Linked DNA regions of Nothobranchius furzeri. The protein of the gene in region 1 interacts with the protein of each later gene in a pairwise test. Links are inferred from orthologs where the notes say so. Each region holds a gene or a part of one and is shown in the gene's direction. Other genes may lie near its edges. The genes, in order: bcl2b, bnip4 and bnip2.

Region 1 (5,349 bases):
AACAAAATGTACATGGTATGTTGCGGGTGAACTGTGTGAGTGTGTGTGTGTGTTTCTACTGTGACTGGGCCAGCCTGCAATACACTTACAAAACTATTTGTCTCGTCATCCACAAAGTGAGTCAGAAGCCATGAGGTCATAGGCTGGGTAGAAAACTCCTCATGATTTCACTTTTCACCTGCAGCCCCGGCACCGTTTTCATCATCGGGATTGGCGGTTGTGTGCATCAGCGCACATTTTCTGGGTCCTTTGTCACAATGGTTTGAGTTCAAGTGTTTTGACGGCACTACAGAGATTAGTTTCACCTAAAAGGTAAAGGTGTTGCAGGTAACTGACAGGTTTCTGACTTTGGTGTTTAGTTTTGCATTCAGAGACCGCTGCAGGTCTTCCTTTTTGTCCATTTTTTTTATCAAGAATGTAACTTAAATGCCAAACATTCGAATCAGGACATGGGGGATATTATTTTTGATGCACTATTTGAATGCCAAAACCTTTTAAAGCTATTGTTCCACTAGTAGAAAGTGTTTATTTTCCATTTTTCTGGATGTTGCTGCTCTGTTGATTGTAGTTTTAAATAAACACTAACTTGGAGCAACATTGGGACCCATCTCAAGCCTTAAAGGGTGATAAAAGCTAATGTTAGTGTTGTAATTTAATCCATGTTAGTGATTTTTATGTAATATGCCAAGTTTCTTTGGTCAGTTTGTGTTTGTATGAAATAAAGCCTTATTTGATCTAAGATATGACGGTGAGAATTGATGATTCACGTTTGATGACGTTCTCATTTGATTTTAGTTAAAGGCATGTTTTCCCTCCACTGGGGAGTTTTCCATTTCTGTTTTTGCTTCAGAAGTTCTGTTTTTTTTCCTCTTCTACCCTGAGGTAACATCACATAGTTTAAATGACATGTAGCTCATGTTAAAAAAATGTAACACCTTTACTCTATGCAAACGGGCTGTGTTTGAAAATTCAATAACAGTTCCTTTCATTCTCCCTATAATTAACTGGTATTTGTGAGAAAGTCTGAAATTCACTCATTTCTTGTTGAACTTTTCTTTTTCTGCCAAACAAACTTAACACCTTCACCTTGTGTGCCATTGAAAGGAAATGTGAGAAGTGGAACGTTGTCTTATTTTCTTACATGATGAAATAAACGCCTGTAAAAATTTAAATATCAGGTATTGTTTTTTAATCTTCACCTCTGATCACACAGTCACGTTTCTGACCACAAGGGGGTGGATAGAGTTAATAAGAGACCATATTTTTTTATTTTTTCTTCCACGTGAAAATCAGTTAAAAGAAAGCAGCTGGTTTCTAGGAAATGGTAGTTTACCAAACGAGCTTTTAACGGCGCGGGGAAAGGCGATGCGCGCAGATTGTGTTTTGGTGGATGTGGTGCTCGCGGAGGCTGAGCGTGTGTGACGTCAGAGCGTCGGCGGAGGTGGGCAGGGAGCTTCAGTTAGAAGAGCGATCGTTGAAGAGCGCTCATTCCGACTCTGCGTGGCTCACTGTCCCACGTCCGGTTGTGTTCAGGGTGGGTCGTGTTGCTGGCGCGCCCCCAGAGCCCCTTCAGGGACGCGCAACTTTTTTTTTTTCCTATTTCCTCTTTCATTCATTTATCCGCAGCACATCCGCGTCTGGCTGCTGCTGCTCACAGGAAAAGACTCCGATCTCTTCCGCATAGACTGGATTTCTACCCAGAGAGAAGGTCACCAGAGTCCCCTCCAAAGACCCGGGAAATGAAGCCTCCTGCTGGAGCGGAACCAGGATTTCTCAGACTAGAACTGCTTTATGCCTGATTTGGTCCCAGAGGCTTTCCAGAAGTCCCCCCACCACCTCTATTTCACTGATCAGCCCAGGACGCGTCTGTGCCGTGCGCGTCTCCAGCGCGCAGTTTTAATCATAATGCACCGTATTTAGAGCGACCTGGGATCAGATTAGATGCCACATTAAGCGGGGATGGCGAACGAGTGGAATCGCAATATCGTGGAAAACTATATCTGCCATAAACTCTCAAAGAGGGGGTTCGCGTGGGGCTTCGATGACGGTGCTGTCGCCAATAACGGCTCAGTGGGTGACCGCTCTCCGACTGTGGTCCGCAGGTGCAGAGAGGCTGGATCACCGGGCCCCGATGTGGACTGCAGACGGATCTCCCAGCAGCCCGAGCCGCTCGCGGACATCCACAGGGTCATGCGGGAGGCTGGAGACGAGCTGGAGAGACTCTACCAGTTGGACTTTACGGAGATGTCACGGCAGCTGTACCTCACCAACGCCACGGCCAAGACCCGGTTCGCCGAGGTGATAGATGAACTGTTCCGGGACGGGGTGAACTGGGGCCGGATTATCGCTTTCTTCGAGTTCGGGGGCACAGTGTGCGTGGAGTGCGCGTCCAGAGAGGAGATGGCAACGCAGGTCGACACCATAGCAGAGTGGATGACGGAATATTTAAACGGTCCTCTTCTTAACAGCTGGATAGAAGATAACGGGGGATGGGTAGGTCTGGTTCCGTCTGGTTCAGGAGAGTGGGGGCGCATGAGCTCACCCTTTGATATCGTGCTTATGTGCGCGCCTGGGCGTCTGGTTGAGGTCTAAATGAGCATTCTGACGAACCTCCGGTTCATATCGAAAGTACACGTGAGGTCGACCATTAATTAAAAAAAATTTGCTGTGGGGGTGTGACGCACGTCAACGCAAACGTTGATAGAGAGGAGCCTTCATGTGTTAGCTGCTCTGATTGGTTGATTGAGTTGACTCTCAACATTGTTTTGACCAATCACGTGAAGGCTCTCTGTCACACCTCCCTACGTACGCAGCTATCTGTGTTCCGCCATGAAAACACATAGGACCAGATGGTTGAGGGAAACTTTTAGAAGTTTGAAAAATAAGAGTAAATTCTGATGTTTATGTTTTAATTTAGTTGTATTCAAAGTGTTCTACAGAGAATGATTTCAATGTGACGAAATGCGCTAGGTGATGATTCCTGCAGGATGGAGGGCGCCAGACTGAGATCTGCAGGCTTAATGTGCTAAAACCTCTGGGCATAGCGGGCTCAGCTGTCAGAGCGCTTTATTGTGTGTGTGTGTGTGTGTGTGTGTGTGTGTGTGTGTGTGTGTGTGTGTGTGTGTGTGTGTGTGTGTGTGTGTGTGTTATTAAAACACACGTGAATCATACACCTGTACAATCCAATTAATATTTATATTTTAATATCAAAACAAGTAAGCTATTAGTTTTTTGGGGTCACATGCTGTATGCTCTTATTTTGTCATACCTTCCAAATGATGCACACTTCCTGACTTCTCAAAGGCCGAACATGCAGTTTGCATAGGTGGTGTTTCAAAAAGTCGTGCAGAATAATACATTTTAAAACAAATTAATTAATGATGATGATGATGATAGTAATAATAACAGCCCTGACCTGCCATTACTGATATTTAATATAATTTTTCAAAATTATGATTAAATTAAAAATATTTTGTAAGTGAAAACGTCCATATAGAAGATTTGTACTGCCAGTGTGAATAAGCAATGGTGAGTTCAAGGACTAGGGGAAAATGTCTGCTTTTTCAACTGCTGTTTGGTCATGGTGCATTCATGGGCCTGGATAAAAGAGGAAATCACTTGTTTGAGTGTCAGACAAGCTGTTCATGCCAATTTTCATCCAATGTCAATGACCAGATGGTTGTTGTGGTTCATCTCAGATTTCTATGTGCACAGACTTCCTATCTTGGACAACCAGGATTAGGCACTCTTCTCTGATTTTATAGCAGCTCCATCTGTCTGTGAACTCTTAATTTGCTTCATATTTCATGTAGAAGATTAGTTTTGTGTAGGTGGAGTTTGGGTTGAGTGGCGGATGAGTTGGCATTGTTGGCTCAAATTCCACCTGCACAACTTGTGTGGGTTATTTCTAAATACCCCAGAATCCTCCAACAGTAAAAGAACACAAGTGTTATGTTGCTTGGAGTCTCTAAATTTGTCCCTAGGTGTGAGTGAGTGTTTGTCTCTGTGTGGACTGGTCCAGGGTGTCCCTCACCTCTGGACATAGGTACCAGCTCCTGTGACCCTATTAGGATTGAGCTTTCATATCATAAATAAGCTTTGGCTGCACAATATATCGCAAATATGTCGTTATCGCGATATCAGCATGTGCAATATGCATATTGCAAAGAACAGATAAATATTGCAATGAATGGTCAGCTCAAATGTTTGCTACACGTAATGCATTCTGTCAATAAAATGGAAGCATGACATTTTTTTAACAAATCAAAGAGCTCTTCACCCACTTGGCCAATTGGGTGGGTTCTCATAGGTTAGATGCCCGCCCCCCGATGTGGACGGCACTTAATTTTGATGGTTAGCAAACACCTTAGTTAGCTTTGTTCTGCACTTTCTGCTGATTCTGCTTTTCCCGGGATCCATTGATTGCCTTTTCTTGTTCATTTTCTTTTTCCCTTTCCTCACATCTTTTGCTTTTCTATTTTTAGGAATTTTTTGTAATTTTTTTAGTTTTTTTTTTTTGTTTTTGATTATTTTTGTTCCTGAGTTAAGTTTTTATTTATCGTAAGTAATATCGTCATCGCAATATTAATCATTGTTATCGCATATTGCAGGTTTTCCCATATCGTGCAGCCCTACTTTTTAGTTTTGTTCGCAAAAAGTTTTATTCACCACTAAACATCAGGTTTCTGCCACCCGATGATTCAAGCACAATTAGTTCTGAGAGAACCGGAGAAAATGAAGCTGCTGCACATCCTCGACTGAACTCTAAATTAGTGAAGAACACAACATTTATGGTGCATCTTAGCTGGAAGCTATTATACATAATATGATGTGTTTGCAAATGAAAGGAAGAGACATCAATGATTCATATTGAATGTTTCATCTTAGTGGATAGGACCATTTAACATTCCCCTTGAGTGTGTCTGCCCCCCCTGTAGTGGCAGGTTGTGCCACATACCACTAGTCTGCAGGCTCTGTGTTTAACATACAGTTTTCTGTTGTACAATGAGGTTGGACCTCTATTGTCCTTTTTTTATTCTTTCCAGACTTGTTTCTTGTTGCGTATTGCAGACTGGGCTGCAAAGATGCCTGCATCAAATCCCCGGAGCCTGTACCTCACTGTACAGTAATGTAGGTCATCGTAGTCTGTGTTTTACAGCTGAGTGGAGATGACTGGATCCACTGCAGTGAGGAACAGAGTATCCTCTAATCCAGGGGAATGTTTAGGGATCATATGAAGGCTTATGTTTGCCGTTTGGGTCAGTTGTGACAGATTTATCCTGATGGGGGAAAAAGGGCTTATTTTCAGATCAAGTTTCCACACAGATCAATGCTGATAGTGATTTGCTT
Region 2 (4,827 bases), on another chromosome or scaffold:
GGATCGGGTGGCAGACCGAGGCGGGATCCTTGGCGGTCCGATCCTCGGACAACGAAACTGGTTTTTGGGACATGGAACATCACTTCGCTGGTGGGGAAGGAGCAGGAGCTTGTGGCAGAGGTTGAGCGGTACCGGCTAGATATAGTCGGACTCACCTTGACACATAGCATTGGCTCTGGAACCCAAGTCCTTGAGAGGGGTTGGACACTCTCCTTTGCTGGAGTTACTCTGGGTGAGAGGCGGAGGGCTGGTGTTGGCTTTTTGTTAGCCCCAAGACTCTTTGCCTGTGTGTTGGGGTTTACCCCGGGTAGCTTCCCTACGCCTTCGGGTCGGGGAACGGGTCCTGACTGTTGTTTGTGCTTATGGGTCAAATATCAGCTCAGAGTACCCACCCTTTTTGGAGTCCCGGGGTCGAGTGCTAGATAGTGCTCCATCAGGGGACTCCATTGTCCTGCTGGGGGACTTCAATGCTCACGTGGGCAATGACAGCATGACCTGGAGTGGTGTGATTGGGAGGAACGGCCCGCCTAATCTGAGCTCGAGTGGTGTTTCGTTATTGGACTTCTGTGCAAGCCGCAGTTTGGCCATAACAAACACCATGTTCGAACATAAGGATGCCCATTCGTTACACTTGGTACCAGGGCAGCCTAGGTCGCAGGTCGATGACAGACTTTGTAGTTGTATCATCTGACCTGCGGCCGTATGTTTTGGACACCCGAGTGAAGAGAGGAGAGGACTGGAGCTGTCAACTGATCACCACCTGGTGGTGAGTTGGATCAGATGTCAGGGGAAGATGCAGCGTAGACCTGGCAGACCCATACGCATAGTGAGGGTCTGCTGGGAACGCCTGGCAGAAGAACCTGTCAAGACGGTCTTCAACTCCCACCTCCGACAGAGCTTTGACCGCAGTGGGGGACATTGACCCCGAGTGGGCCTTGTTCCACTCTGCGATTGTTGAGGCGGCTGTTGCTAGCTGTGGTCGCTAGGTGGCCGGTGCCAGTCGTGGTGGCAACCCCCGTACCCGCTGGTGGACACCAGAGGTTCGGGGAGCCGTCAGGCTGAAGAAGGAGGCCTACTGGGCGTGGCTGGTCTGTGGGTCTCCGGAGGCAGCTGACAGGTACCAGAGTGTCAAGCAGGGTGCAGCAGTAGTAGTTGCCGAGGCAAAATCTCGGGTGTGGGAGGAATTTGGTGAGGCCATGGAGAAAGACTATCGATCGGCTCCAAAGAGGTTCTGGCAAACTGTCCGGCGCCTCAGGAGAGGAAGGCAGCAACTCGCTCACACTGTTTACAGTGGGGATGGGGAGCTGCTAACGTCAACTGGGGCTATAGTCGCTCGGTGTAAGGAAGACTTTGAGGAGCTCCTCAATCCCACCTACTCGCATTCCGAGGAGGAACCAGAGCCGGGAGACCTGGGGATGGACTGTCCAATCTTGGGGGCAGAAGTTGCTGAGGTAATCAAACAACTACACAGCGGCGGAGCCCTGGGGGCGGATGAGATTCATCCTGGGTATCTCGAGGCTATGGATGTTGTAGGGCTGTCATGGTTGACACGTCTCCGCAACATTGAGTGGTCATCGGGGGCAGTTCCTGTGGAGTGGCAGACCGGGGTGGTGGTCCCCATCTTTTAGAAGGGTGACCTGAGGGTGTGTTCCAACTATAGGGGGATCACACTCCTCAGCCTCCCTGGAAAGGTCTACTCCAAGGTACTGGAGAGGAGGGTCCGATCGATGGTTGAATCTCAGATTGAGGAGGAGTAATGTGGTTTTCGTCCTGGCTGTGGAACTGTGGACCAGCTCTATACCCTTGCAAGGGTGATGGAGGGGGCATGGGAGTTTGCCCAACCAATCCACATGTGTTTTGTGGATTTGGAGAAGGCTTATGACCGTGTCCCCAGGGGCGCCCTGTGGGGGACGCTCCAGGAGTATGGGGTGGGTGGCTTTCTGTTAAGGGCCATTCAGTCCCTTTACCAGAGGAGCTTGAGTTTGGTCCGCATTGCCGGTAGTAAGTCGGACTTGTTCCCGGTGAGGGTTGGACTCCGCCAGGGCTGCCCTTTGTCACCGGTTCTGTTCATTATCTTTATGGACAGAATTTCTAGGCGCACCTGTGGTGTGGAGTGTGTCGAGTTTGGTGGCAGGAGAATCTCGTCTCTGCTTTTTGTGGATGATGTGGTCTTCCTAGCTTCATCCAGCTCTGACCTTCAGCTCCTGCTGGGTAGGTTCGCGGCCGAGTGTGAAGCGGCTGGGATGAGGATCAGCACCTCCAAATCTGAGACCATGGTTCTCGACCGGAAAAGGGTGGCTTGCCAACTCCGGGTCAGGGGAGAGGTCCTACCTCAAGTGGAGGAGCTTAAGTATCTCGGGGTCTTGTTCACGAGTGAGGGTAGGAGGGATCGGGAGATCGACAGACGGATTGGTTCAGCGTCTGCAGTGATGCGGACGCTGAGTCGATCTCTCATGGTGAAGAGGGAGCTGAGCCCGAAAGCCAGGCTCTCGATTTACCGGTCGATCTACGTCCCAATCCTCACCTATGGTCATGAGCTTTGGGTAATGACCGAAAGAACAAGATTGCGGATACAAGCGGCTGAAATGAGTTTCCTCCGTAGGGTGGCCGGGCTCAGCCTTAGAGATAGGGTGAGGAGCTCAGACATTTGGGAGGGACTCGGAGTAGAACCGCTGCTCCTCCGGATCGAAAGGAGTCAGTTGAGGTGGTTTGGACATCTGGTCAGGATGCCTCCTGGACGCCTCCCTGGGGAGGTGTTTCGGGCATGTCCTGCCAGCAGAAGGTCCCCGGGTCAACCCAGGACACGTTGGAGAGGTTACATCTCCAATCTGGTCCGGGAACGCCTTGGGGTCCTGTCGGAGGAGCTGGTGGAGGTGGCCGGGGACAGGACGGGGTGGAGCTCCGTAGTTGGGATGCTGCCCCCAGACCCGGATAAGCGGAGGAAGACGATGACGACGACGAATACGACTACGTATAGTTTTTGACAATTCTTTGTTGATGTCTCTCAGCATTCAAACATTCAAATTATCATTGGAAGCCAAGCTTTGGTGCTGACAGCCCTTGATCTTCCTCCATTTTTTTCTTTTTCAGTCTGATGAAGACTTCCAAGAGAGAAGATGGGAAGTCGAAAACCTAATGAAGAAAAATGCTGACTGGATCTGGGACTGGTCCAGTCGACCTGAGAACAGTCCACCCAAGTAAAAAAAAAAACAACTAAAGATTTTTATTTAAGATACTAAGGGTGGATTGCACCAACAAGGTTTAATTTAAACTAAGATTATCACTCATCAGTGATTAGTAAAAGTAGATTTAAAATAACTTAAATCAAGTTTAAAATTAAGCAGGGCTGTTTGCATACTTAAAATTAATCACAGTTTAGTTAAACTATGTTTACATTTTTAAACTGTGCTTAAACCGATTTAAATAAAGGTGAGTGGATTTCAAAATAAAATCTACCAATTAAACAGGCTACGTTATTAAACTATAAACATCAGAAGCGTGTTGTTAAAACCTCTTTAAAATGTAACAGACGTTGGATTGAAAACCCTCCTCCTCTCTGCTCTTCCCACCCAGTGAGTTACTGTGTCATGTTTGGTGCATATATCAGCATTTGCTTAAAGAGCAAGTCACCTCTTACAAGAAGCGTACTTCACTCCCACTTCATGTTTGAAAAATGCAACAAATGCTGTTGCCTAGCAGACCGAGAGGGTGGAGCCACTAACAAATACACACACTCACGACATTGTGACATCATAATGTACCAGTTTACATCATAGCATACCTCTTAGCCAATAGCGGTGGCAGATTTAAATTCAAATCCAGTGCAGAGTTTTTACTTGACAACGGCACAACACTGACAGTTTCAGGCAGAAAATTTAAATTGTAACTAAAATGCACTAAAGTGCAAAACTATTGATTACACGTGTCTGCAGCATGATTAGACACACATTTATATAGTTTATCAGAAAAAAATAGTTGATTTGGGGGTGACTTGCTCTTTAAAGAGCAAGTCACCTCTTACAAGAAGCATACTTCACTCCCACTTCATGTTTGAAAAATGCAACAAATGCTGTTGCCTAGCATACCGAGAGGGTGGAGCCACTAACAAATACACACACTCACGACATTGTGACATCATAATGTACCAGTTTACATCATAGCATACCTCTTAGCCAATAGCAGTGGCAGATTTAAATTCAAATGCAGTAAAGAGTTTTTACCTGACAACGGCACAACACTGACAGTTTCAGGCAGAAAATTTAAATTTTAACTAAAATGCACTAAAGTGCTAAACTATTGAATACACGTGTTTGCAACACGATTAGACATGCATTTATATGGTTTATCAGAAAAAAATAGTTGATTTGGGGGTGACTTGCTCTTTAAAAAGCAAGTTTATTTATATATTTGCGTAGTTTCTCTGCTCCTCCTTTGCATTTTCTCTCCATCTCAGAAGATCCAAAAAGATCATATTAGCTTACCTAATAGCTAAGCTAGCTCCACACACAGCTAAATGGTCCCTTTGACAGGGAGCAGGTGTCTCATGCAATGATTGGACCAGCTCTGTGTCAGCGAAGGAGACAACGAGCTGCAAACTTGCACATCTTTCCAAATGAATGAACCTGAGGTTCGGGAACAAATTGTTGCATTGCAGCTGACTTTTTTTTTTTGCCAAACACAAGCAGGACCAAAGCGTGACTGACCCAACCCAAATATTATTCAGGCCGCTTGTTTTATGGGTCGATCAGAACAATGTGTACATTTTAAATAAATAAATATGAAAAAAAGAAACTCTAGTGTCAGCCCATGATCAAGCAGAGACTGCAA
Region 3 (4,827 bases), on another chromosome or scaffold:
AGTCGACCCTGGTAATCAAGTCACTTTGTACATTTCTGCAGAAAACCTATCTGTGGTCCCTCACCCCTGTCAGATCCCACATGGTAATAGGTTAAGAGAAATGTTGCTGCTCCTACGCTTTTCCCTTGCTTTTGCATTTTAAAGTTCAACTGTAACTACGATGAGGGCTCAGCAGCCTGACTTGTGTAAGTTATGACTTATTCTAAGTATTGCATTTATTTCTGCAGAAACCCCCGTGAGTATCAAATCAGAAAAAAAAAACACCATTTATCTGCTTTTGGGAACTAAATCAACCACCACTAAGCATATTTTTGTCTGTTTTAGGCTTTGCAACAAACCACAGCAAGAAGGCAAAGAAAAAACTCAGTGCTCCAGACATCAGCCTGACTCTTGACCGCAGCGATGGCTCCATCCTCTCTGATGAGCTGGAGGAAAGCACAGAGTTGGATCTGGATGCCATCGACACGCCGTCAGACAACAGCAATGAGTTTGAATGGGAAGGTAAGAAGTATATCACGGAAAACACAAATACCACATCTGCTTTGGCCCTGGAACTGTGGTTTTATCTAGCTTTGTTTTAGTTTCTGCTGTTAAAGCAAAATATGTAAAGACATCACTCCTTAGGTGAGCTAAATACTTGAAGGTTCCCCACTCTGAGTCCAGTTAGAAGAGAAGGCCAGGTATCTTTATCCATATAGCACATTTCATACATTGAGGCACTTTCCAGGAGCATGAACAGCTAAATCAACACAACAGCATAATTAAAATATCAGATGCACAAATTTAATTCAGATTTAAGAATCCGATAAAAGTTAAAGGGTGAGCAGTTACGGTGCAGCATAATAAACAGTCATTCATAGGCTGATGAATACATGAAAGTTTGAATTTAGATTTAAAAGTTGGGGCTCTTTTGTGGTCCTGAGGAAGCGCCCTGCTTCACATTTTTATTTGTTGAACTTGGTTCTTGCACCTCTAGATGATTTACAGGTTTACTTTGGCAGTTTGCTGCCTCATGTATGGTTAAATATGCTTTGTTGTGTTTGTGTTTCCACTCTGCCGCCTTCTTCTTTTTCACTTGGAAGAACCGCTTCCTTTGTCTGCCTGGAAACAGGCTGCAAGCCAGCAGCAGGTTTCTCTCCCCCGTGGGGTAAGGACTCTTGGACAGACTTTCTTCTTGTTTGATCTTTTGGAAAACACAAGTCAATCAGCGTCTGTCGTCCGATCATGTTTTCAGACAAATGCCTTTTTTCCCATCATTCCTTACTTCCTCTTAATTCAACTTTGCTTTCATATATATATATATATATGTTATTATTATTATTATTTTTAATTATTATTTGTTTGGAGTTTTTCTGTTCATGGGGAAATGGTATCACCTTGTCACCAGTTTAATAAATCAGCTGTTTTGATGTTTGTGAAAAATTAAAATTAATTTAATATTGCAAACATGAAATGAAAGGAAAAAAAACTGGAATCTACTTTTTTGCTGTTGCTGTGGCATAAAAAACAGCGCAGCATTGCTTGGAAAATGATGTTTTTACTTTAACCATCTGTTGTGTGGTCTTGGCATTTTTACTTTAGTAATAAAATGAGTGCGTATTTTCAAAATGAAAAGGAAATCTTAGCTTAAAGAACATGTTGTGTGATTTGCTTTCACAATTTTGGTTTTGATTCCTCTCGTTGCATGCTTGAAGTACCTGATCACTTAAGTACTTTGTTGATGTTGGGGCTGCATGACTTAATTTTTTTTAAAGTCGACAGTCAAGTAATGAAAATCGAGTCTAATTTGACTAGTCGTTGATGACGTCATACACCTGAAGCGGCGCAAGGGGTGGGGGGTTGGGGTTCGGTTGGTTCGCATCAGGCACAAATAAAAGACAGAAAACATAAAAGGAAATGAGCCGACATAAACGATTGCGTGTTAAATTTGTTTTTCAGGTGGCGACACCTGATGTTACTGTGGCTGTGCTCAGGACGCAGATGTCTGGAGCGCGTCAACGATCAGAGCTTTGCATGCACAAGCTGGTTAAGATTAGGATGGTGGTGAGGGGAAGGTTAAATTGTAAGATGGTAAAGGTCACAATTTAGTTAAATGTCCGTTTTACGGCGGGTGTCTGATACCAGTGCGTCGCCTCCCGACGCGCATGGGCTCGTCACCTGCTGTCTTTTCCAAGGACTGCATCTTGTCGGTCATTATCATGTGACAGCGACTAGTCGATGACAGGCATAAAAAGTCACTACAGAGCCGTGAAGTCGACTAGTCGACTAGTTCATACAACCCCAGTTGATGTTATGACATCAGTTTTATGAAACTATGCAGCTCTACGTTTACAAACAAAAGCGGTTTGTTGTGAAAGAACATCTTTGATTTTCATTGTGAATCGACAGGATTTTTGCCTTTTCTCTCTAAAAATCGCAAAGAAAGAACGCCGTATTGTGAATTTTGGTTTTTAATCTGGGGAAAAGCATGCTGCAGAGATGCAAAAGATCAAAACCAATCATTTGTTCAGTGCGCCCGATTGAACTGCGAATATTTGATTAAAAAACGATCGGATCTGGATTACAAGAGCTATGGGTGTTTAGCTTTTTGCTTAAAATGTATTTTCTTCCTCAGATGATCTTCCCAAGCCCAAAAGCACAGAAGTGCTACAGAAAGGTGTGGAGACGGTCCAGGAGTTATCCGCATCAGAGGAGCGGGAAGAAGGTCGACGGTGGAGGATTTTCCATTTTGGAGATCAGGACCACAGAGTGGATATGAAGGCTATTGAGCCCTACAAGAGAGTAATCAGTCACGGGGGTCAGCACCTTTTCATGTAGTTCACACACTAAACAAAAAAACTCTAAACATGTCATAATGTTAGCGTTTTTCTCTACAGGTTACTATGGCGATGGTTTGAATGCTATAATTGTGTTTGCCGTGTGCTTCATGCCTGAGAGCAACCAACCTAATTACAGATACATCATGGACAATTTATTCAAGTGAGCCCATTAGCCTCGTTTTAGTGCTTTAGCGATGACGCGTGAAGCTAACGACGGTTTCCTGTTTCAGATACGTCATTGGCACTCTGGAGCTGCTGGTGGCTGAGAATTATATGATTGTTTATTTAAACGGGGCGACTTCTCGTAAGAAGATGCCGACGGTCGGCTGGCTCCGAAAGTGTTATCAGCAGATCGATAGGAGGTGAGTCGACATCGTCTCATCCTTCTAATCAAGTAAAGCTTCGACTAAAGTAGAAAACCTGAGACTTTGAGCCATTATTTACTCATTATTTTTCTTTCAAACACAGGTTACGGAAGAACTTGAAGTCGTTGATAATCGTGCACCCTTCTTGGTTTATTCGGACCCTGCTGGCTCTCACAAAACCTTTCATAAGGTATCAGAAATGTTCAGGGTGGTAAACACAATTATTTATATTTGTTTAATCATTTTCTGCTTTTCTTTTACAGCTCCAAGTTTAGCCAGAAAATCCAGTTTGTGTTTAGCCTGACGGACCTCGCTGAGCTCGTTCCAATGGAGTATGTGTCCATACCAGATTGTATCAAACAGTAAGTACGTTGGAGCGCTGCTAACGTGTCTGAAGGTCTGCAAGCTAAAGTCACAGCTGTAACGGGTATTTAGTTACATTATTTATAGTAGATTGGAATCTACTCAAGCAAAGACGTTAATCATTTTTGTATTTTACACTCTTCCATCTTTATTTTACTCTTGGAAGCTGTGCTGTGTTTGCATTTTCAAATGAAACACGAGCAGAATTCACATCATGTTTAAAGTAACAACCTGAACTCATCTGTTGTCTTGATTGTTGAGGATGATTCACCTCTGAGAGAATTTCAAACCAAAGTGCAGAGCATTTACATTCAAGTAAAGTTCTCCCCTGTTCTCCATCCTGACTGTCATTGGGACCTCTGCTGACCTGGCTTGTATCTGAGATGCTTCGACCACTTGTCTGAAGGAGAAGATTGCTGTCAAAGTGTCCGAGGATTAAAATCGGATCAAAATGGGAAAGCTGAAACCTTATGTTTGGTTTTTTTGTGTGCTTTAGCAAAGCCTCTCAAACCAGCAACCTTCTTTTTCTAAAATCTAAACATTCTTTTTCTGAAAAGAGTGACCCTTAACCCTAAGATCTGAGTGGACCACCTGTCCTGTCCTATTGACCCTTTGCACGTGACGTCACGCCACTCATGTCACCGCCCCCTTCACCATGATGGACAGCAAAAAGATCGTTTACACCCATTGAAACTCCAGTGAAGCTAGTCAAAACAAGCCAGTTTGTAGCCTTTTATCGCTTTTATTTAGTTGATTTGACAGTAAAATGGTTTTAGCTTGCTGCGTGGTTGGCTGCACTAACAGACAAGGATGTAAACTCAACTTGTTTTGCTTTTTAATAACTTTGATGGAGACTGAGGACGGAGATTAACTGCAGCGACCAATCAAGCGGACTAGCAGCCCTCAGATTTGCAGCGAACATGTTTTTACCGGGTAAGATTAACGTTCATTTATTTCACGAGGAAGACAGAGACAGGGATAAATGTGATGTGTTATACTAGTTATTATAATCCTGATGGATGGGTATTTCACCACGGAGGATGCACGCCGTCCACTGTAGTGTAAAGCGAGATGATTATTAACAATATTAAAGCTCCGATGTATGATTACGTGTGTTAAAATTACATTATTTATTTATATGAGCGTCGGCGTTCAGAGATCTTCTCATTCCGGTGTGAGAGCAGCAGCTGAACCCGGTAACACCACCAGCAACAGAAGCTGGTAGGGATCCGGACTTTTTAACAATCAGCTTTGGTGTAAAGTGAAACGCTGTTTATAAA

Evidence for each region.
Region 2: the proteins of bcl2b (region 1) and bnip4 interact in a two-hybrid assay, tested with the Homo sapiens proteins (2 studies listed by BioGRID and IntAct). The link is inferred for Nothobranchius furzeri from reciprocal best matches to the Homo sapiens genes BCL2 and BNIP3.
Region 3: the proteins of bcl2b (region 1) and bnip2 interact in a two-hybrid assay, tested with the Homo sapiens proteins (3 studies listed by BioGRID and IntAct). The link is inferred for Nothobranchius furzeri from reciprocal best matches to the Homo sapiens genes BCL2 and BNIP2.

Annotation. Positions count from the first base shown.
Region 1 is NC_091751.1:52,804,202-52,809,550, forward strand, and holds the start of bcl2b (apoptosis regulator Bcl-2), read left to right. Parts: upstream 1-1,728; 5' UTR 1,729-1,959; coding exon 1,960-2,493; intron 2,494-5,349. UniProt on the Homo sapiens protein: Suppresses apoptosis in a variety of cell systems including factor-dependent lymphohematopoietic and neural cells. Regulates cell death by controlling the mitochondrial membrane permeability. Appears to function in a feedback loop system with caspases.
Region 2 is NC_091752.1:32,879,440-32,884,266, reverse strand, and holds part of bnip4 (BCL2 interacting protein 4), read left to right. Parts: intron 1-3,090; coding exon 3,091-3,197; intron 3,198-4,827. UniProt on the Homo sapiens protein: Apoptosis-inducing protein that can overcome BCL2 suppression. May play a role in repartitioning calcium between the two major intracellular calcium stores in association with BCL2.
Region 3 is NC_091744.1:67,576,949-67,581,775, reverse strand, and holds part of bnip2 (BCL2/adenovirus E1B 19 kDa protein-interacting protein 2), read left to right. Parts: coding exon 1-11; intron 12-324; coding exon 325-501; intron 502-2,614; coding exon 2,615-2,797; intron 2,798-2,876; coding exon 2,877-2,979; intron 2,980-3,049; coding exon 3,050-3,181; intron 3,182-3,287; coding exon 3,288-3,374; intron 3,375-3,447; coding exon 3,448-3,546; intron 3,547-4,827.